Linked DNA regions of Caenorhabditis elegans. The protein of the gene in region 3 interacts with the protein of the main gene of each other region in a pairwise test. Each region holds a gene or a part of one and is shown on either strand. Other genes may lie near its edges.

Region 1 (7,200 bases), on a different chromosome or scaffold from region 3:
AAAGCTATTATCGACTCCGTAGCCTCTTCATAATCCTTTCCGAATGGCATTGAAGTTTCAGTGCAGCTAGCTTCTGAAAGAATAAAATGCAATGGGTCCCCATGGGGGAGATACGAAGAAACTTACTGCAACATCCGAATTTTGTCTCATTATTGCTTATGCGTTTTGGAATATCTCGATAGCAAAACTCTCCATTCGGGCATTCTTGAAGATCAGAGCACCAATTGTCTACTATACTTCCGTCAGGACATTCTGAAACGAGTAGTTAAAAGGAAGGGATCTTTGGGTAGGCCAGTTCCGTTATCGTTTAAGATCGGAAATGGGTTTGAATCCCTTATAGATGTAATGCCAAAATGAATGCTGACAGCTTGAAAATTTAAAAGGCCAGTTTTATTTTTTGGTTTTCCGGGCCAGAGGCGGGCCACTTGACTTGACCTTCAGACAGCTCGAAATTTTCAAAAGTCAACACTTACTTATCGTCTGAAGACTTGCACTTGAAGCGAGCAACAAAATATCGATGATTAGATTTAGATTCATTAAAAATTTATAGATTTTCGTTCACTTGGATACGGAAAAAGTTGAAAGTAAAGTAAAGGCTCTGTTCGTGGCAAGATCTGGAGAAGTTCACGTGATTTTTCTTGAACTCTTTTTCAATAAAATTCAATAAAATAAGTTAATTAAGTTTTTTGTATATACTCAAACAAACATGTTTTAAGTAAAAAAAGAAAGTTTTCAGACCCAATCGCCAATCGCGACGGAAATATCAGAAATTTCTCTGTCAATCTATTTTTTGTCTGTCAATCTATTTTTTGTCTGTCAATCTATTTTTTCGTCTGTTAAAATATTTTTCGTCTGTCAATCTATTTTTCGTCTGTCAATCTATTTTTTCGTCTGTCAATCTATTTTTTCGTCTGTCAATCTATTTTTCGTCTGTCAATCTATTTTTTCGTCTGTCAATCTATTTTTTCGTCTGTCAATCTATTTTTTCGTCTGTCAATCTATTTTTTGTCTGTCAATCTATTTTTTCGTCTGTCAATCTATTTTTCGTCTGTCAATCTATTTTTTGTCTGTCAATCTATTTTTTCGTCTGTCAATCTATTTTTCGTCTGTCAATCTATTTTTTCGTCTGTCAATCTATTTTTCGTCTGTCAATCTATTTTTTGTCTGTCAATCTATTTTTTCGTCTGTCAATCTATTTTTCGTCTGTCAATCTATTTTTTGTCTGTCAATCTATTTTTTGTCTGTCAATCTATTTTTTCGTCTGTCAATCTATTTTTTTCGTCTGTCAATCTATTTTTCGTCTGTCAATCTATTTTTTCGTCTGTCAATCTATTTTTTCGTCTGTCGACAGACGACAATTTTTCCAATTTAAAAAAATCATATCTAGCTTTAAACTAACATTTTCAAAAATCCCTGTCATTTTGTTGCAAATTTTGTGGTCTTTCAGAATTTGGAAACCAAATTTGAAAAAGTTTCATATTCACTGAGTTCAAGCAGAAAAAGTGGAATGTCAGTCATACCGTTTAGTGGACAAATTCAAATTGAGACGTGTATCAATGTTTGAGACACACCTGAAACATGTTTTAGTCTAGGGTAGGGCTGTCTACGGTAGACGTCGCGCCTAGGCTCTATTTCCCTCCGACACCCTCTTCCCAACTTGACCTCCCGGAGACTATAGCTCGTCCAATTGGTCATTTTACTTTTTCGTCCACTCATTATTTCATTTTTTCTCTTCCCCTACTTACCTAGGTCTGGCTCGAAAGTATTTTAAGAATCTCAGTGGCCCTATTCGGGGAACCTAAGCCATTGCTTCTAATAAAATTTGCTTCTTATAAATTGCTTCTAATAAAATTGCATTCTAATAAAAAAACATAATTTATTGAAATTAATTATCAAAAAAGGACAGGTCAGAACAATGAAAATCAAATGGAAATATTGCAAAAATGAATATATTTTCAGATGCCGGTAGTTCCAGCCGAATTATTACATCTCATCGCATACAACGTGTAGACTTTGGCGCTGGGAAGTTCCATATAACCATTGTGAAGCCCGTTGAGTTGCTCCTTCTTAATTCTTCCATTAACATCCTTCATAAAAATTGTGAATGGGTGATTTGGAGCAGAAACGGTGAAAAGCACTGTTGAGCTATGGGCCTTCGATGAATCGTAGACGATTTCCGGACATGTAACTTGATAGAAACATTTTCCTGTCACGCAATACATATACTTCTCAATCTCCTTTGTGAAATCGTTGAAGACATGAATTACATAGGTTTTGATAGAATCAGCGTACTCTGCGTATAATGGACACAAGTGCCATTCCTCAACATTTAATGGGCATCCCGAACAGTTGAGTTGCTCGAATTGCTGTGTAGATGGGTTGAATGCGTACTTGAGATAATGTCCCAATCGACTGGAGAAGATATAGAGAGCACTCTGACTGTATGTTGGACACCAGCGGATTGTGGATAATGGAAGAGTACTGGATGGTTCTTGAACCATCTCCACACCCTCCAGCTCCTTCATCAAAAGAGTTCTCACTTCAACACTCGGAATCTTCACATACTTTCCATATCTGAACTCCAGCTTCTTCACACCAAATCGTGACTTTTGGATGATCACTTGATCATCTCCATCTCCATTGACTGCTGCTACAAAATCAGTGTTTTTCGGTCCTTGAGCTGGTTGCACCTCCGGATAGTTCACTTGCTCGAATCCCCCAGTCTTGAAGCTGAACATGTACTGCTCATCTTTTTGCTTTGTCACCATATTGTCCATGAAAATCACGAAATTGGAGATTTTCTCGTTCCAAACTGCACACGTGGGGAATAAGTGGTTTTCTTGAACTCTTGGAACACAGGCAAGACACTTGTGCTGCTCGAATTTCTCCTCTTGATGATTGTAGGTGTATACGTGAGAAGGTCTCTTCCAGCAATAGACACTGTAAGTTGTGACATTTCTTGATGTGCAATGACGGATCCTGATTGGAGAAGAGTGTTGTCTGTTGGTGCACATCCGAGGATTACATTCTGAAAATAATAATATGATTAAAAGATTTGTGGTACTTAATTAGTTACCTTGTCTCGCACCATATCCTGGGGCTTCGGACCAGACAACTGGAGCAGAGGTGGGTGCTGATTCCTGGGTAGTTTCTGGAGTTACTTCTGTTGGCTCTGACTGTGATGTAGATTCTACATTTGTGGTCGAAATGTTTTCTTCAGTAATCTCTGAGGCTTCAACGAACGCATTATTGAGCAATGAGTTCACTTCTTGACTTTCAGAATCAAAACAAGAAGCAAGTGTCTGAGAAGTCTGAAGTTCATAAAGCCTCAAAGCTTGACGATGAAACTCGACCATCTGTTTTTCGGAATCTACACCAGGGTGGTGTACTAGATCCGGATATGATGTGATGTCTGCAAAAAGATTTTATAATTAATTATAGTTTCGTATATTAATAAATATATTAAATTACCTTGGTTTATATCGGAACTTTCAGAGTTGAACCAAGAAACTGGGGCCGAGGTGAGCGGTGATGTCTGGGTAGTTTCAGGATCTAGTTGAGTTGCTGGATCTACATTTGAGGTAGAAATGCTTTCTGGAGCAATCTGTGAGGCTTCAGTGGTTTGAGTCGGTGTCTTCTTGGTACGAATGCCGGACAGATTCACTATTTCATTGAACAACGGGATTAATTCGCTGGATGCCGGCTTTAGCAGATCCAAAAGTTGATCTTCTGATTCCTTTAAACGACAGATCTCTGCATACTTTGAAGCACGCTCTTTGACATCTTTATCAGACTCCATCGGATATTCATTAAGATCCTTGCAAAGCTCATTGGTTGTTTTCCGATAAGCCTCTTCTACCGCTTCTAAGTGTTTCCTGCTTGCATTAACCGCTTCACAGTATTTTAGAAAACCAGTAGAAGCATGCAAATTCAGTACTGTCATGAAGTCTTTTCGAGCGTTTGACAGCTCGCGGCGCTTGGGAAAATATTCTGCGAAGAGCTGTATGGTAGCAGCTGTCAATCCAGTTGAGCGATCTTTTAATACCGCTGAATCACCAATCTTTGCATACTTCGAAGCTTGACGTTGAAGCTCTACCATCCGCTTTTCGAAATCTTCATCAGCGGTCGATTTCTTTGGTTCGGCAACATATTCATTTCGAACCAAGGGTGGTGGAAGTGTAGAGTTGTATCGTTGAGTTGGGATAAAAACTCCGTCTCTGATGGCTTCTTCTCGGAATTCGGCATCCAGAACAGCTTTTTTGGCGGCTAAATCTTGATCATTGGTTGAAGATGGATTGCTTTCTGAAATTAAAGGATTAGAAAATCTATAATCTTCAAAGAGTAATGAAAACTGACCTCGATTTTTAATAGAACAAGATTCCGGACTCTCCCTCACTGCATCCGCGAATGAACGGCGAACCATATGAAATTCTTCTACTTTGCTCTGATGAGCTTTTTGTGCCGCTTGAACATTCTTCCAGCATGTGTTAACAACTTCAAGGTGATTTTGAGAGCCAGTAGACTTGTGCATGTTTCTTGCAGCCACATAGTCTTTTTGTGCCTTTTCCAGATCTTTGACCATTTCAGAACGTTCGCGATTGAGTTGTGAGAGAGCAGATTTCAATTCAAGTGCAGAGTTGGAACTCATCGTTGGAGTTTACTTTCTGGAAATTGAAGATAATTAGAATCTTCTAGACAAGACAATACGACAAAACAGGTAACAGAAAAATAAGGAAAATAATTGAAAAAAGGAAAGAAAAAACCAGCTCACCAACCAGGAAGGGCAGTTGAAGATTGAATGACTGGAAGACTGAGTGGTAAGGTGCCTGAAATCTGTCAGACTCCATTTGCGCGTTTTGGGTTATCGATTACCCATAAAGTGATTTATCTGGACAAAGGAGGAGCCTGCCATTGTCTGAAAAGGAGACGATGGCAACCCTCTTATAGTGGAGTCCCAGGAGACCGAATATCTAGAAAAACACTGAGCATCTGTCAAATGACACTAATATTCTCCCACTCTTGCAATAAATTGGGACGTACAGTCAAGTCTGTTTTGCTGAATTACAGTGCCTTTTCTTTTAATGTTTCATCTTACTTTGCCAAGCAATTTCAAACTAGGGTATACAGTGCGTCCAACTTCTATAGCACCCCCCTCCAATTTGGCGGTTTGGAGCTTCTCAAAATATTTTTTGAAAAAGTGCTAGTGCAGTTCGATAGCAAATGTTGAAAAACCTATGCTCCCCAATTTTCATTATGATATCTCAAAAATCACAGGAATTAGGTCAAAATATCGGAAAAATGGCCGTCCAACTTCTATAGCACCCCCTCTGATTTTTGGCAATTTTCGGTAAAATCGGGGTTTTCTTCTTAATTAATAAATTTATTTTGTGAATAACTTTACAACAAAATGTTCAGACGGTTTCATTTTCACATTTAAAAAATAAATATAACCCCTGAAAACACGTGGAACGCCTAGGATTGTCCTGGAACGTTCGTATTTGCTTCAGAGGCCATTTCTCGGCTCCCAATGATTTTCGCAGCACCAAACTTGACCAAAATGATCTTCCCCACCTATTTATTACTATTCAAATAATTGTTGAAAACATTTATTCATATGAACCAAATGGTAAAGGGAGCAACTGCAGTGATTTTCAAAAGGCTTGATTTAACTATGAAAACTAGCGTTTGGAGGCGCAGAGCTGAAGGTTGGTAATACATTTTCGACTAAGAATTACTAAATTATAGCAAAAAAAAAAAATTATATTATGTGAACATCAAATCTGTGGAAATCCATGGATACATCAAATGCTAGACATCTACATTCACCGATTCAGGTTTTGTCTGTTAGCTTTTAGGTTCTTTGACCATAGAAATATTCAATGAGCAAATTCGCTAAATTTCAGTTGAGTTATAAATACAGCTAGAAAAATCGCCATTCAGAAAGTTATATCTTACTTTCGTCTTTAAAATTTTCGCGTGTTAGCTTGAGAAAAATACTTGCGGCCTCGCTTTGCCTTTGTCCTCTTTTGAGCGGTCTCATGAACTTTTCCGAATAAATTTTCGAAGACTTCTAATCAAAATCAAAGCTTCAAGGATATTTGAACCGGATGAGCTAAAATTCTGTACAATAGGAAGTCAAAACCATCAGCTCTGCGCCTCCAAACGCTAGTTTTCATAGTTAAATCAAGCCTTTTGAAAATCACTGCAGTTGCTCCCTTTACCATTTGGTTCATATGAATAAATGTTTTCAACAATTATTTGAATAGTAATAAATAGGTGGGGAAGATCATTTTGGTCAAGTTTGGTGCTGCGAAAATCATTGGGAGCCGAGAAATGGCCTCTGAAGCAAATACGAACGTTCCAGGACAATCCTAGGCGTTCCACGTGTTTTCAGGGGTTATATTTATTTTTTAAATGTGAAAATGAAACCGTCTGAACATTTTGTTGTAAAGTTATTCACAAAATAAATTTATTAATTAAGAAGAAAACCCCGATTTTACCGAAAATTGCCAAAAATCAGAGGGGGTGCTATAGAAGTTGGACGGCCATTTTTCCGATATTTTGACCTAATTCCTGTGATTTTTGAGATATCATAATGAAAATTGGGGAGCATAGGTTTTTCAACATTTGCTATCGAACTGCACTAGCACTTTTTCAAAAAATATTTTGAGAAGCTCCAAACCGCCAAATTGGAGGGGGGTGCTATAGAAGTTGGACGCACTGTATAATGACTTGCCTGTACGATAAAAGTTTACTTTTTTGTAGGGGTAAACAATGTGATCAGCTACCAGAATCTGAAATAAAATTCTGCCCAAAACCTCTGGAAATCTGTAACTTTTCTTCTGAAAAAGTATCACTGCTTTCTGTAGATAATAACTTTTCGCACAGCGCCCCAAATCGGGAGAGTTGTGAAAATCGAGAATTGAAAAGTCCAACGGAGCGCGCTTGCACACTTTTACGGTATTAAATGAATTTCACGCGAAATTTCGCGATTATTCGAGTTTTCAAGATGAAATTTGGAAAAAATAATTAAATATTGGGATTATTATTGCTTTAAAAAAGTTTTAAAAAACATTTTATTGAACAAATTCAATATTTGGTTGATTTATCATTGATTTTCGAACCGATTAGAACAAGTTAACTCTATGACAAAATTTCTACGCGAAACCAATTTTTCAAGCATCAATATGCGTGATTCCA
Region 2 (9,065 bases), on a different chromosome or scaffold from region 3:
CAACCGAAGCAACAGGAGTACGCATTGCAATTCATGGAAAAGAGGAATGCCCTTTTCCTGATACCTTCGGGTATTCTGCACCAACAGGCGTCATCTCGTCTTTTGGTATTTCACTAAGAAATATTAACCGTCTCCCTCAACCATATGGAAACTGCTTGCAAAAGGATAATCCACAATCGAGAAGTATTTACAAAGGTTATAAGTATGAGCCAGAAGTAAGTTGCTTTAGTGATTCACTTGATATGTTACATTATATGATACACTTGAAGGGGTGCTTTCGTTCTTGCTACCAATATCGAATAATTGCAAAGTGTGGTTGTGCGGACCCTAGATATCCGAAACCCTGGAAAAGAAGTGCTTGGTGTGACAGCACTAATACCACAACCTGTAAGTTTTTAAGATTTTTAATGTCATTTTAAATAATATTTCATGAGAATAAACTCGTGTAATGAAAGAAATGATAGTCGGAACAAGTTAAAAGATTAAGTGATACGAGACAATTGAATTGATTCCGTGTAAAACACTTGTAGTTGAGTGAATAGGATAAAGCTATTCGACATTTAGTGGGAATTTCTTGCCTGATAATTGCTCCTAACGTAGTTTAGAAGTTGAAAACGCTTAGCTTAAAGTGGAACAAAGCGGACCAAATTTTACATCGGCTTAGCCAAAGTTCCGTGTTTGACCCACCTCGTGTTAAAAGATTGTTTAACTCACAATATCAATTTTTACAGTAAACTGCCTCACGACAGAAGGTGCCAAATTGTCAACAAAAGAAAATCAGAAGCACTGCAAATGTATTCAGCCATGCCAGCAAGATCAATACACAACAACGTATTCAGCAGCAAAGTGGCCGAGCGGAAGTATACAAACATCGTGTGACAATCATTCAAAAGATTGCAATTCTTATTTAAGGTTTGCACTGTTTTAAACTCTATGTAAAAACCTGATAATAATCATGTCTCGGCAAATATCAGAAAACATTTTTTTAAAGAATTTTTGGATATAACATGTAACTTGAAAAATGGTTTTGTTTCTAAAATACATTTATTCTCAAATAAATTAGTTGACAGTTAATGACAAAAAATCGATTTTCAGAGAACACGCCGCAATGATTGAAATTTATTATGAACAAATGAGCTATGAGATATTGAGAGAATCTGAGTCGTATTCTTGGTTCAACTTGATGGCCGATATGGGTGGCCAAGCTGGCTTGTTTTTAGGTGATTTTAAACAATTTGAGTAACTCGCAATTCAAAAAGTGAATTTTTCAGGCGCAAGCATTATGAGCGTGATTGAGTTTTTATTCTTCGCTGTCCGAACTCTTGGAATTGCATGTAAGCCAAGAAGATGGAGGCAGAAAACGGAATTATTACGAGCTGAAGAATTGAATGATGCGGAAAAAGGAGTATCCACAAATAATAATTGATTTTTGATCTCTGTGGAATTCAAATGTGAATAAACAGGTTTTTTTCAAACAGTCTACTCGGGCTCATAAAAAATCCACAAGAAGATACATTTTATTTTGATCAACTTTGACCGTAAAAAGTTGATATTCAAGAGAAAACATGGAAAGGTTGCTGTTGAATACACATAATGTTGAAGAGAAGATTTGTGTGGCCGGATTTCGAACTGGGATTCCAAATTTTGCTAAACGAAAATTATACAAACAAAGTAATTGAAGAATACAGGAAAATGAGAATGAGCTAAAAAACACAAAAACAGATAGAATGAAACGCACAGCTCCGTTGCTTAGTTTAGTTGAAAGTTTGTCAAGTGGAGAACTCTGTAAAATTTATTTTCAGTCCCGTTATCCACTTTCACGTCAAATCAGTAGTGCCATGAATCCTTCCGACCAACGTCATAAAGATTGATGATGTACCAACTATGCTAGTTAGTAGTTATTACACCAACATAGTTGATACATTCAATTTCTACGTTACAACATCTTGACAGGTTTTCCCTCGAGAATGGCCTGTGAGCCTGTAGAGAGAAGTGAACCTGTAGAGTACACAGACAACATAACTGCCCAGGAAAAAAAGGAAAAAACTATCAAGATGTTTTCGCCACATTTGAATGATTAATTATTAAAAAACCACGAATTCATGAGAATGCCTATTTTCTGAAAAAAAAAAGCGGCAACGAGATATCATTCAAAAATGTAAGATTTAGGTGCCTTCGCTACGAGATATTCGCGCGCCAGAACGGTATGCATTCTCATGATCAGGTGGTTTTTTAATAAGTGTTAATGATTCAGTAACAAATGAGTGAATAAGTAAAATATTTTTTTTAGTTCCTATTCAGTATCAGGGCCGGGGTTTACTCCGAAACAGCTATGCCTATGTTATTCTTGTAACATCGTTTTCAGGACTAAAAGTCTGGTTTGTATGCAAGTTTACCATTCTTCACATTAGTTCAACTCACTCTTTCTTGTCAACTTTCTTATTGTATTTTGATTTCTTGCCAATGCCCGAACAGCAGCCGTAACCGGGGTTTTTGAGAGTTCTAAAACATGATGTGCATTATAAAAAATACTTCCGTTGTCAACTTACGAAGCTTTGTGTGGGCTTTGTGAAGAATCTGCGCACGAGACTATAATGATTGAAGGTCTGAAATTTTAATGACAATGGCGGTTGAACTCAGAACTTAAATTGAATTTCATGAATGTCAAAAATAATAATTTGTTTTCAATTAATATTTATTGTAAACTCACGGAGTATATTGTTCCAATTTTTCCCATGGATTGTTTTTGTTGAATTGCATTTTTTGATCAATCTCAATGGGGACAGAAGGGTTGGAACTACTGGAGTATCATAATATTCGTAAGAAATTTCATTTTAAAAAAACTTACCCGCTTGAACTTTCAAAGGAACTTTCAGTTTCTGGATGTTCCTCATTTTCTATTGCAGCATGATCTAGAGACTGTCCAATATTTTCTTGCATGACATTCAAATGTATTTCTTGATGAAAGTCATTGATGTCACGGAGTAGATTTCTCTCGGCGAGGATTCGGATCGTTTCCTGCACAATTGTACTGATTGGTGCCTCCAATTGTGAAACTTTGCCGCTGACAACTCCAGTTTCTGTCGAAGGTGGCAATGGGTGATTCAGTGATACATCTATTGATTTGTTATTTGTTTCATCGTGAAGATTAGTAACGCTAAGAAGAATTGGTTCATCGTTGTTCGAAAAGTTTTCAGCAGTAGCGGTATCATGTTCAGCAAGTATTGTATTTTCAACTTCAGTAACTGATTTTGCAGCAGAAACTATAACGTCGGGCTCTGAGCGTTTAGAAGATTGTTCCGGTACAGTACAAAAAATATTGAATTCAGCAGGCCCTGTCTCATTCGGGCTCTCATTCTCGGCGACATCTGCGATCAAGCATTGCGATGATTTCATTTTCTCCGATTGGTTCCTTGTTTGACAATTTGTGAGCGTTGAATTATATTTTCCATAAGCGTCACCTTCATTCTTTTTAGTTTGTGGTTGAATTAAAGATTCTTCGGCATCTTCGTAAGCCGAGTTGAACGAGTCAGTAGATTGTATTGAGAGGGAGGGAGCAAGTACCATAGGAATTTCAACAACATTCGAAAGTTGTTGAGCGTTGCATCCATCAATATCTGAACGAGAGATGAATTTAAAAACAGAAAAAAATTGTATCGGACTCTTGTTACCTTTTGTTTTCAGAACACAAACTGTTTCATTTCCATGAGATATGACAATTTTAAGCTCAGTCTTGTTAGGAGACAGCGGTAATTCGGAAACGACACCTGATGAGGAGGATGAAGATGATGCATTATTGTTTGGCAAATGCTGTCTGGATACTTGATTTGAACGGTTTTGGTTATGGCCATGTTGGTTTTTCCTGTCGTTTCTCCGGAAATTGCTAGTCTAAATAACTCAATTCAAAAATGAAATAAATCAATATTGATACCTTGGAGTTACGGTTGTTTCCTCGGCAATTATGTTTTCTGTATTGAGAAGTAATGTCCGGTGGGAATAAAAACGGAGTCAAATGCTGTAAAGATGATTAAGATTTTCATGAAATTTTTTTTTTTGACACTAGTTAAAATTTAAATAAAATTATATTTCACTTAGGTAGTTTTGTTACGATCTCAAGGAGAGATGAACAATGAACGTATTGATTATTTTTTTACGGAAAGGGCAAAATTACATTTGAAACAGAGGTGGCGGCAATTGTCGTTTGGCAATCGAATTTTCGCCAATTTCGGCAGTTTTGGCAATTGCCGCAATTGCCGATTGCCGAAAATGTTGAAAACCGGCAATTGTCGGAATTACCGATTGCCGGAAGCCAGAATTGCCGGGAACATAAATTTAATACGTTTTGTAAATTTTTGAGTCTAAACATGCATTTAAAAGAAGATGTTTTCTTTTCAAGCTTAAAATGTTTAAATCCTGAAAGTTTTGGCCGTTATCTATTAGAAAATGACTAACCAAATACTAACAAGGTGATTTTTTTTTTCATTTTTTGAGTTATAATTATGTTTGAAAATTGCCGAAAATGTCCGGCAATCAGCAATTTCGGCAATTTTCGGAATCCCCGATTGCCGAAATATTTGAAAACCGACAATCGCCAAAATTGCCAAAATATTTGAAAACTGACAATTGCCAAAATTGCCGATTGCAGGAAAATTCCGATTTTTTTTAAGTGAGCATCAGCTTTCGAGTTTTCTGAGTCAACCTTTTATATTTTTCATTCCGACCTATTTTTTTTATTACAATAACTTCCAAAATCACTACTTTTTTACTGAACGTATTCAATTTAATTGTAAAACATTAAACTTCTTTCTTACATCCAAATAATTCAGGTCCTTCAGGTTCGGCGAGCTTTGAGCATTTGGAGTCCTTGGTTGGTACTGATAAGGAGGAGATACACAACACAACTTGTTCATTTGGTATTGATTACATGGCTGAATAAATTTTCCGTCCATGGTCTGATTATGGTAGGTTTAAAAAATGTGGAATGCCACGTAATTGTTCTCAATTGAAATTCTGATTTTTACCTGACTTTGTAAAGCATATTGCTCGGAATTGTAGTATTTTTGATGTGGCAGTTGTGCTGGGTGATTTTGGTTTGCATATTGGTAGCTTGTAAAATTCTGTAACATTTTAATTTCGAAATGTGTCAATAAAAGTCCGAACCTGAACATTCCAATTATTGGGTGGTTGAGATGGGTATGGGGCTGATGAAAATGTAGAATAATCCTGAATTCAAACATGAAACAACATTTAAATTTATAATTATCTGGTTTAAATTACCTGCACCACGGGAGCACCTTGAAAATACACTAAAGGATTTTGAGTTTCCGGAATCCACGAACTTTGGGGATACATCGGTTGCGAGAAAAACGCCGGGTTCGCTGGAGGGAATGTGTAGTATGTAGTCATCTGTGGAGCAAAACGTTCATACTTGGCAGGAAGCTGGAAATCCACTCAAAATATTATAAATTAAAAATTTTTAAATTTTTGGGTGAGGATGAACCAATGATATTCTGTATCTCCATGTGAGCACAGCAAAATACTCTTTCATTTTCATTGCACGCATTTTCATTAAGTCCCTTAATTTTTTTTTTTGCATAACTTGAAAATCGAGCATTAATCAACAAAAGCAACTGGTGTTATTCATGTTTTAGTGTGAGTGGAGATTTTGAAAAAAAAACACCGGCCAGTGCTCGTGCCGGTGCGGTACGAGGAAGAACATCTGTCACAAAATTAAGGACAGTGGTAAACATTCATCCCCACTAAACTGGCAAAAACAAAAAATGCTCGCAAGACCATGTCTCATATTTTTTCCATTTACTTTAAAACAAGCACAGTTTATATCTCTCAAAAGATTGAAAAAAAACATACCCGCGTTTCTGGACTTTTAATCGTTGACTGTGGATCTCCTTTGAATTCTTCATTTAAACCGTATTGTGGGGTCTGAGTTGGGTTCACAAAGCTTATTCTGTTAGAATTGGCTTCCATCGTTTGAGATTTAAATATGATCAATCTGAGATATATTTTTATGGCCCACCAGTGAATAAAAGGATATATGAAAAAAAAATAGAAGAATTGTAACATAGCACATACTTTAGTGACTAAATCTAGGTACACACTGTTAAAAATTTTCAAACATTATATTAGCATTCTATCAGTTTTGCACACTTCTGCATGTGTTCGAGGCTATCTAAATTATTCACAGCTTTTTTCAGACTTTTATAAAATTTCGTGTGATTAAAATTTTGCCAAGACTTGAGTCTCTACGTAAAATGTCAGTTTTGTAAATGAGAACAAGCTTTTGTATCGCATTGTTTCGTCGCTTTTTTTATACTAAAGTTCAAAATTTAGCTCACGCGTTGCCTATAATAAATTGACGCCTTTCCAAAGAATAGCAAAAAATAAAATCGAGAGAACGGAAAGGAGGAGACATCAAGATCCACAACTGAAAAAAAATGAGCATAAGACATTTGACTGTAGAAAAGAGAGCACAGAGAAGCTATGGCGCAGACAGAAAAGAGGCGGAGTTTTGAAAGATCATATGTAAGCGCATACATTTCCGAAAAGAGGGCTAACGAATATTCTTGTTCAACAACAAACCTTAAAAGCATTCATTTGCCATATGGTACAATTTTGAAATAGCTTTATGGCAACAAAGCAAAAGTCAAAAAAAAAGAGATTAAAGATGTATTTGATGAGATAGAACTGTTCAACTTTTTTTCAAGTATTAAGCTAAACGTGCAGCGGATTTATTTTTTTAAATTACTCATTTCAAGCTTCACGGGCTGCCCATAATATAAACTATTATAAAATCAATTTTTGAACAAGTTTACCTGTTATATATATTAGATGTAGATCAAAATCGTGAAACATTCTGAGATGTAATGAAATTTAATTTTTCACGAGAAACCAGATTCTAACATTTTGATACATTCAAAATGTTATCCAAAATCTCCAAGATGACAGGATAATTTATACATCACAAGGATTTGAACTAGAATTTTAGAATTCAGACTTTTGCAAATTTCTAAAATTGCTTCTTTGAAGTTACAAAACAGTTCCGTTTTCCTCAGGTTGCCAGTTTTTCAAAAACAAAAATATTGCAAAATTTACTGCAATTCAAAAAAAAATAGTACGTCGAGTGAAAAACTTTACATTGTTAAAATTACAGTGCATAAGAAAATATGACAGTTTGGTAATATAAACAGGCATGGCACACAATAAATTGTGCGGATAATTCAATTTAAAATTTTTGTAAGAATAGGGGCATTTTAAAACGGAAGTCGGTGATTTTTAACTCAATTAAAAATCTATATAAAGAATTGTAAAACAATTGACGCAAATTCAAAGTGTTGTAACCTTAAAACAATCAGAAGCATAATTAGTTTTGGTAATATGCAGCAAAACTGAACAAGCATACACTCAATTATGCATCATTTGAACTTTAGGATTTTGCAACTAGAAAAGAATAAAGTAAGATGATGTATTTTGAAACAAAAATACAAACTTCTAGCTCGAAGTTTAAAAATACCTTTGATTGAATGTTAGTGTGGAAATTTTTTGAAACAAAGTTAGGCACTTTGATACAAAACTACAAGAGAAAATTGAAGTTTCAATAAAATTTGTTAATTCCATTTTATACATTGAAATGTTATGTCGTCTTGATGGTGACTAGAAGAAAAGCCAACAGAGACATGTCGGAAGTTAATGGTTTTAGGGAAAACAAAACAATGTCAATTTGTGAAAACGTTCCGCGTACATCTTTTGTTGGGAAAAAACTTCACAAAAAAACAAATGCTGTCTATTATGAGAATTTGAATTTTTAAAATTAAAAATCCAGAGGTCTCTTTCTTTCTAATTGTCTAGTAATTGTAAATAGAAAGACGTCAAAACCAGAGAAAGTCAACATGAGTTTTATGTGAGTGATAATATTGGCATTTTGTTGTACTCTCCTTCTCAGTTTGAACATATTCCCACGATACAATAAATGGCTTTTGTCGTTCGATTCATAGTCAGAATCAAGAAAAGTGCAAATTTATGTGCATCAGTGACTCCAAAATTAGTATCAATTGAATGAACGGATTTTGTTGGTCACTTGCAAATAATAGGGGTTAGCAGGTACATTTCTGGTTATCATCATGTTTTTTAATACCTTTCAATATCATATATATATATATATTATCCTAAAGACCTCTCCAACTCAAACAGCAATTTGGTCTAAAACTCGTTTAAACTTAAAACTAGGACCTAAACTGCAAAGCAGAGGTATGCGGCAAATGTCAAAGTTTGCCGAGCTCGGAAAATTCGGAAATTCTCTTTTTCCAATATCTGCCGAGAAAAGCAAATTTGGCAAATTTGCCTCTTATCAAACTTCGAAAAATTTGATATTTTTTGATAGTTTTTTGGAGCACCAAAACTGATGAATTCTTAACACACATCTGGTTTCTGAATAAGTACCGTGTAGTGTATCTGTTTAAACGTCAAAAAAAATTTCAATTTTAAGTCATTTTACTAAATTTTTGGGAACAAAATCACAGGTTTTAAATCAATAATTTTTCATTCGACTTCGACTTTCAACTTTCGGCAAGCAAATCAAAAAAAAAAGTTACACATCAAATATTATGAATGTTTAACAACAATTTTTTGTTCAACGTAATTTCGTAGTTTCAAAATTGAAAAACGTTCCAGTAACCGAAAAAAGGAAAGGAGAAAAATGTATATCAACTGACTTTTTTCGGTTATTTTTCTTTCTCCGTTTAATTTCCGGCCACTGCAATGCAAGTTAATGAAATATTCGACCATTTATCTTAAATACCTTTTCTGTGCCTGGGTAAAATCAGTAAGATAAAAAAAAGTGAAATTTAAACTAGGTTGGCTCGATTTAAATTTCACTGAAATTCATGGATCTCATCGGAAACGTTTTTGTTGAATTGAGCTAGGAAGTTGTATTTCAATAGAGAATTTTTTTAAAAAATGTACATAGGAGCTAATCATGAGGGGAAATCTTCGAGATCGTGTTTTCTTCACAGTTGGGAAAAATAAACTCGCCCAAAAAAATCAATGCTGTC
Region 3 (6,058 bases):
AAATGTAGACGTTTTGATTGGTCCGCATTACACTGTATCGAGTGCAAGTAGAGAGGGCATGTTTGACAAACTGGATACATTTAGTGGGCGTGGCTTGTTTCATGCGAACTTTTGACTTTTATACCACCGGTTTGATTGAAAATTGATAAGATTAACATATTTATCATTATTATTTATTTAAAATTCATATAATCTACAAATAAAAAATAAATATATTTATTTAATCTGAATCCAGAGTTCGATTACCGGAACAAGAGAAAACAACTTTTTGAATATTTAGATTCTAGAAAAATTCTAAATATTGGAGATTCATTGTGTGATTTTGGTGTTTGAACATATCAAACATCTGTTTTTATCGTTACTTATCTTTTATGGTCTTTGAATTGAAAATGAAAAAAAGACAAAAACACGGTTATAACACGCAGAAGGAAACTATATTGTTATCTGACTCAAAAGAAATATGGTTTTTACTTTTTAATTTCAAATTTTAAAAAAATCAAAAGAAACCTGTGACCTGAAAACGGGTGATGGCAAGAAAATTGTCTTCATGTTCCAGTTGCTTCAATTTTTCGCTGGAAAATTATTTTGTAGGTTCTAGGCAATTGATACTGTCATGGAGGAGACTTGGAACTTGAAATGTATAAATTAAATTGTTGCGTTTGATTCAATTGTCTCTCATAGAACGTTTCAACACAAAGGATTTACCAAGAAGCTCCTTCACAACTAGATTTACGTTTGCATGGAAAAAAGGCTACTGTTTCTGTTAGTAAAATACTGAGCTTGTCTGAATAATTTTTTTAAGGCATTGATTAAAAGATTTGAAAAAACCTTGCATTGAAAATTGAACTTATATCAAGAAATCAAAAGGTTCACATGTGTTCATGTTAATTCAAAACCATTACATTGAAATTCAAAACTGTCCTATAATCTGTTTTTGACCACTCTACGTGTAAAATAAGCAAACTCATGACTTAGTTTTCAGTATCTTCTTGGGATTATACATTTTAATTTCGAGAACGGGAGGGCAAACGACTAGTGATTTACTATGCAGATTTGAATGCAAACCGCATGTTTTTTATTGGACTGTCCTAGAAATGTGTGCACTCAGAGGACAGTTTGAACATCACCTAGCAAGTTTTTGTGAATATAATGGACGATCTTAAAGTGGAGTAGGGTGAATGAAGATTTTTAAATCTAGAACAGTTTGAAGCTCAGAAATATTTTATATTTTCAAATGGGACTAATTCCTTTGTTTGAATTTCCTCCAAAGTGAGAACTGCAAGACAAATCAGCGATACCATCCGTACACTTGAAAATACTTGTAGACTCCGAAATCATTGCCTGTTCGTTTTTATTTTCGTTCATGAGAAATTCAATAAAATTGAAGTATAGGAAAAAAACGAGACTCTGTGTACGCTCAGCGGACCAAATAAATTGCGAAACTCACTAAGTTGCGTATTTTCAAACTGACGAATCTTGAAAAATACACATCTAGGAAACAAATGTTCAACTAACAAAATGCTTAGAAATATTTTTTATTGCAAAATACCAATTAATTGTTGAGTTGCACACAGTCAAACTCATTTTATCAGAAACCGCCGAAATTTTTGAGATAGTTTCTGCTCTAACAGTCATAACCCGATTTTCATTGAGTTTCAGAAGAAAAATTTTGCTAATCAGTAAGTAAAAAATATTTTGCCACATTTTTTCAGTTTTAAGTTTTTTTATATTTTCATGTTCAGCCAAGTTGCAGACCGTTTTCTGAAAAAATCCAATTTTCCCCATAAAACTCTTCATATTCAACGCAGAATCTTGAAATTTGGACGAAACATCGCACTTTTTGGTGCTCTATCAGGTTCCATCAAAAAAATTTTGAAAAATCTACAAATGTCCAAAATCGTCCTCCGCTCCGAAAAATGAAATCGGATGTTTGCCTTTCGGAAAATGACCAAAAAATGAAATTGGGATATTGGGGTCGAAAAATATGTTTTTCGAAAGCTGAGAACACGTTATTCACGAATTTCATGTTCATTTTTCATGAACTTCTGTTTTAAATGACCTGAAATTAAAATATGAAGCAAATTTTGTTCTCACGTGACATTTTTTTCGCTTAACAGCAACTGGAAACTCATTTTAAGCAAATAAAAAAAAATCACGTGGGAATGAAAATAGGGTCATGTTTTAATTTTAGGTCACTTCACAGAAGAAATCATGAAAAAAGAACATGAAATTCGTAAATAACGTGTTCTCAGCATTCTAAAAACATTTTTTTCAACCCCAATATCCCAATTTTACTTCTTAGTCATTTTCCGAAAGGCAAACATCCGATTTCATTTTTCGGAGCGGAGGACGATTTTGGAGATGTGCAGATTTTTCAAAAAAAATTTTGATGGAACCCGACGGAGCACCAAAAAGTGCGATGTTTCGTCCTATTTTCAAGTTTCTACGTTGGATATGAAGAGTTTTATGGGGAAAATTGGATTTTTTTCAGAAAACGGTCTGTAACTTGGCTAAAAACGAAGATATAAAAAACTTGCAATTGACAAAATGTGACAAAATATTTTTCATATATTATTCAACAAAATTTTCTTTCTTATTTTCAATGGCTGTTTGATTATTACAGGTACAACAAAAAAGTTCTCAAAAATTTTTGTGACTTTTGGTAAAATGGCTTTGACTCTGTGTAACTCAACACAAATTGGTATTTTGTAAGCGACTTTAAAAAAGTAACATTAAAAAAAGAAAACATATTTGTAATCATTTTGGTAGTTGAACATTTGTTTGTGAGGCGTTTATTGTTTGAGATAAACCAGGTTGAAGATATGTAATTTAGCGAGTTGAGGAAGCTTTTTTTAAAAATTATATGACGTGGTGAATTGATTATATAACCATTCTTACCTGAAAACTGTTTCAGAGCGCCACAGCTGCAAATTTCACACTATGATTAATGAATGTTTTTTTTAAGTGGTCTATAACTTTCTGATTTATTGTGGTAATTTTTCACACCTTATTACTCGTTTTTATAGTCATTCTTGTAATTTGCCGATTTAAAATTTTTTTCACAAGTTTCAATCCATTTCGTGACTCGAATCACACCTCTCATTATTTGCGTGTTCCTAATATGTCTGAACCTTTCTTGGTTTGATATGGAACATTATAAAAACTGATCTGATTGATCAAAGTGATAATATAGATAGCACGGGAGGATCAAAGTTTGCATTTGATGATATACACACAAATATGTGCTCCAAGAGAGAAAAGAGCAGGTGTCAGGTTTGGAGCACAAAAAGAGCAAATAGAAGTGGACGGATGCAATTGCGGTTAAGAAATAGAAAATGGACAATAGGCAGAGAAGACACATTTTTGTTATTGGTGTTCCTCAGAAATATTAGATTTCTGCTTCTTTGACAAGAACATTCTTGAAATTAATAATAGTTATTCTACATTAATATGCAGTTATCCATTATCGTCCTATTAGTTTTACCAATTTCTTCATATTCATTTATTGTCGGAGGATGTATTGGGCCGAAATCTGTACTCGAAAGGTTTCTCAATGATAAACAGAAAACTGAATTGAGAAAAATGGTTCATAACAAGTTTGATGGGTCAAATGCAGAACAGGCAAGTTTTATTTGAGTGACTGGTTAAATTTGAAATAAAAAGTATACATTCGTTCTTCTAGTTTGTCATCAAATCATTTTGAAACATTTGAAAAACTGAACATTTATAATACATGTCTGACGATTTTTTTTTTGAATGATGATCTGGAAATACATCTAAAAATGAAACCACATCGGTATTTACGATCAAATCACGGTACATTTCAGGTCCTTGAAGAATCGAATCGTTACGTGTATGGCCACGTCACTGAAGAACAATGGCATTCAATTGTTCCTGAATTGGCAGAATATCAAGCAAAAAAGCATGAATGCTCGGTTTACGCTCAACTTTTGCCAAAACCATTATATCAACAATTACTGGTATTCAGGCATTTTTAAGAAATACAAAAGTACTAATTTTCTAGAAATCAGTACTTCGAGCGTCTGAAATGGGTGCATCGAAATATGACGTCAAACGATTAGTGGATGATTATGTGAATCGGCTTGCCAAAAACGGTGTTCTACCTGATGTTATAGATAAAGAACCTATAGTAAGTACTACATTTAATTGTTGTCAAAAATTTTAAATTCCAGCTTCCACGTGTCACACTTCCGGAATCTGAAATAACATCACAATCGTATCGAAAATACCCGAAAAAACCGAAAGCAATAGGAAAAGTTGGAAGTACCGGTGGAAATAGAAATGGAATGGGTGCCATGTTAGTTTTTCAGATAAGAATTAAAATTTATTGATTATATTGCAGACATCCAACTCTGATCAGTTATCCAGAAGAGCAAAGAAAGACAAATAGTCGGGTTAAAAATAATAGGAGTAACTATCATATTGGAAATATTGGGAACATTGGTGGAAACATTGGAAATGGTCAAAAAATGAACAGGAATAAAAATGGAGGAAGAAATCAAGGAGGAAATCATCCGGATAATATGGGAATTCCAATGTTCCCCATTGCTAGACCGTAACCTTTTTCATTTAAAATTCTGCCAATGTTGCCTAAATTTATATTTCAGAACACCGTATGATCTTGCCGAATACATTGAACGAGGTTTGAACACTGGAAGATCCAATCACAGAACTCCACAAAATTTCCGAAGATATCCAGAACATGAATGTGACTATTATGCGGGACCGTGTGCCACATCATTCTAATTTTATTAATTTTTTGATAGCTGTATATTTTTCACATTTTCCTAATACGTGTAACTCAACGAGGGTGTCTCCGATTCCGCCTTTTCAACGACGTTTATGTTTCAATTTAAATAAACGTTAAATTCATAAAAAGTATTTTGTACCTCGCAAACACATATGAATATTTAAACCAAAATTGGAATAAAACATTATTTATTTTAGTTATTTCAGAATTATGCTTACAAATGACAAATAATTCTTGAAATCTGTTCAGCAACCCATTTTCCGTTAGAATCAGTTGCAGTGAAATACCAATCTGGGCTCTCAGCCAAAACTTCCAGGTAATTTGGATTTGGTCCAATCGAGACCACGATCGAACGGAAATTGTATTTTTGTTGAAGTTGATGCATATAACTGGATGCACTTCCATCAAATGCAGCTATATCACTAAAAAGGTAAAACTTTGGAATATGTAAATAGTTGTTATAATTGTAACTCACTCAACGCCGACGGTGACCAGGATATTAGTGGATGAAGTTCCTGGATCGCGTTCCTCAAGAATATATTCATATGCTCTGAAAATTTTGATAATGAAGAAGTCTACATTTCAAGCTTCTAAATTGCAAAAACCGGCTGTTAAACATAAAAATAAATTGAGTACCTCTCAATCTTTGGGTCAGTCAGAACCATAACTTCACTGTATAATTGATCAATATTTATGTCCAAAAGTTCAGTGCTCCTGAAATTAAAAAAAATAATTAGGACCAAAATTCAAGATAAGAACTCACGTAGCATCTGGATAATGAAGTATGTAATTTTCATAGACACCTGAATCTGGATATGGTACATTAATAGCTTGAGTGCTCCCATCTTCAAAATTGTAGTTTGTAGAATTGTAAAGATATTTCTGAATGAAATTAAGAACTCCCTGTGTTTGTGGAAGCTTTGTCATTTCGTAAGCCAACGCGATTTTTCCATTGAATTTTTTGGTGCATGGTGGGAAGTTCACTTAAAAATTGATTGATTAAATATCTGGAAATATAGTGGAAATCTGAAAATTCAAAATTTCGCGCTATTTTGGCAAGCTGGCTTGGGTGGTTTTGGAATATGTATGAAGTAATAGGTTTGTGTAGCCAGGAAATAATGGTTATCAGTTGAATGGTCTCAGTGCATTCATGCGTTGGGTTTTATAGTTTTCAAGTCAGGAAATGATTTTTTTGATTAGAGACGGAAGTTGAGAGACTGTCGGACAAAGTTTAAAATTTTAAGAGGTAAAATGATGACATTATTCTGAAAGGCGTCTGTAGTGTTT

Evidence for each region.
Region 1: the proteins of C18H9.1 (region 3) and vet-6 interact in a two-hybrid assay, tested with the Caenorhabditis elegans proteins (one large-scale study listed by BioGRID).
Region 2: the proteins of C18H9.1 (region 3) and E02H4.2 interact in a two-hybrid assay, tested with the Caenorhabditis elegans proteins (one large-scale study listed by BioGRID).

The regions. Positions count from the first base shown.
Region 1 is NC_003279.8:13,267,448-13,274,647, reverse strand, and holds vet-6 (Very Early Transcript), read right to left. Parts: upstream 4,665-7,200; 5' UTR 4,649-4,664; coding exon 4,357-4,648; intron 4,303-4,356; coding exon 3,472-4,302; intron 3,413-3,471; coding exon 3,077-3,412; intron 3,029-3,076; coding exon 1,956-3,028; 3' UTR 1,866-1,955; downstream 1-1,865.
Region 2 is NC_003284.9:14,275,615-14,284,679, forward strand, and holds E02H4.2 (MIF4G domain-containing protein), read right to left. Parts: upstream 6,013-9,065; 5' UTR 5,986-6,012; coding exon 5,869-5,985; intron 5,440-5,868; coding exon 5,278-5,439; intron 5,224-5,277; coding exon 5,161-5,223; intron 5,118-5,160; coding exon 5,022-5,117; intron 4,929-5,021; coding exon 4,812-4,928; intron 4,016-4,811; coding exon 3,932-4,015; intron 3,889-3,931; coding exon 3,672-3,888; intron 3,618-3,671; coding exon 2,849-3,617; intron 2,801-2,848; coding exon 2,711-2,800; intron 2,607-2,710; coding exon 2,550-2,606; intron 2,503-2,549; coding exon 2,422-2,502; intron 1,784-2,421; coding exon 1,750-1,783; 3' UTR 1,508-1,749; downstream 1-1,507. Other genes in the region: Degenerin del-1, read left to right, coding at 1-215, 270-387, 732-912, 1,096-1,220, 1,272-1,426.
Region 3 is NC_003280.10:6,695,716-6,701,773, forward strand, and holds C18H9.1 (uncharacterized protein), read left to right. Parts: upstream 1-3,368; 5' UTR 3,369-3,450; coding exon 3,451-3,621; intron 3,622-3,827; coding exon 3,828-3,980; intron 3,981-4,024; coding exon 4,025-4,150; intron 4,151-4,193; coding exon 4,194-4,318; exon of another isoform or gene 4,319-4,363; coding exon 4,364-4,576; intron 4,577-4,628; coding exon 4,629-4,767; downstream 4,768-6,058. Other genes in the region: C18H9.6 (uncharacterized protein), read right to left, coding at 4,986-5,193, 5,247-5,321, 5,408-5,485, 5,535-5,698.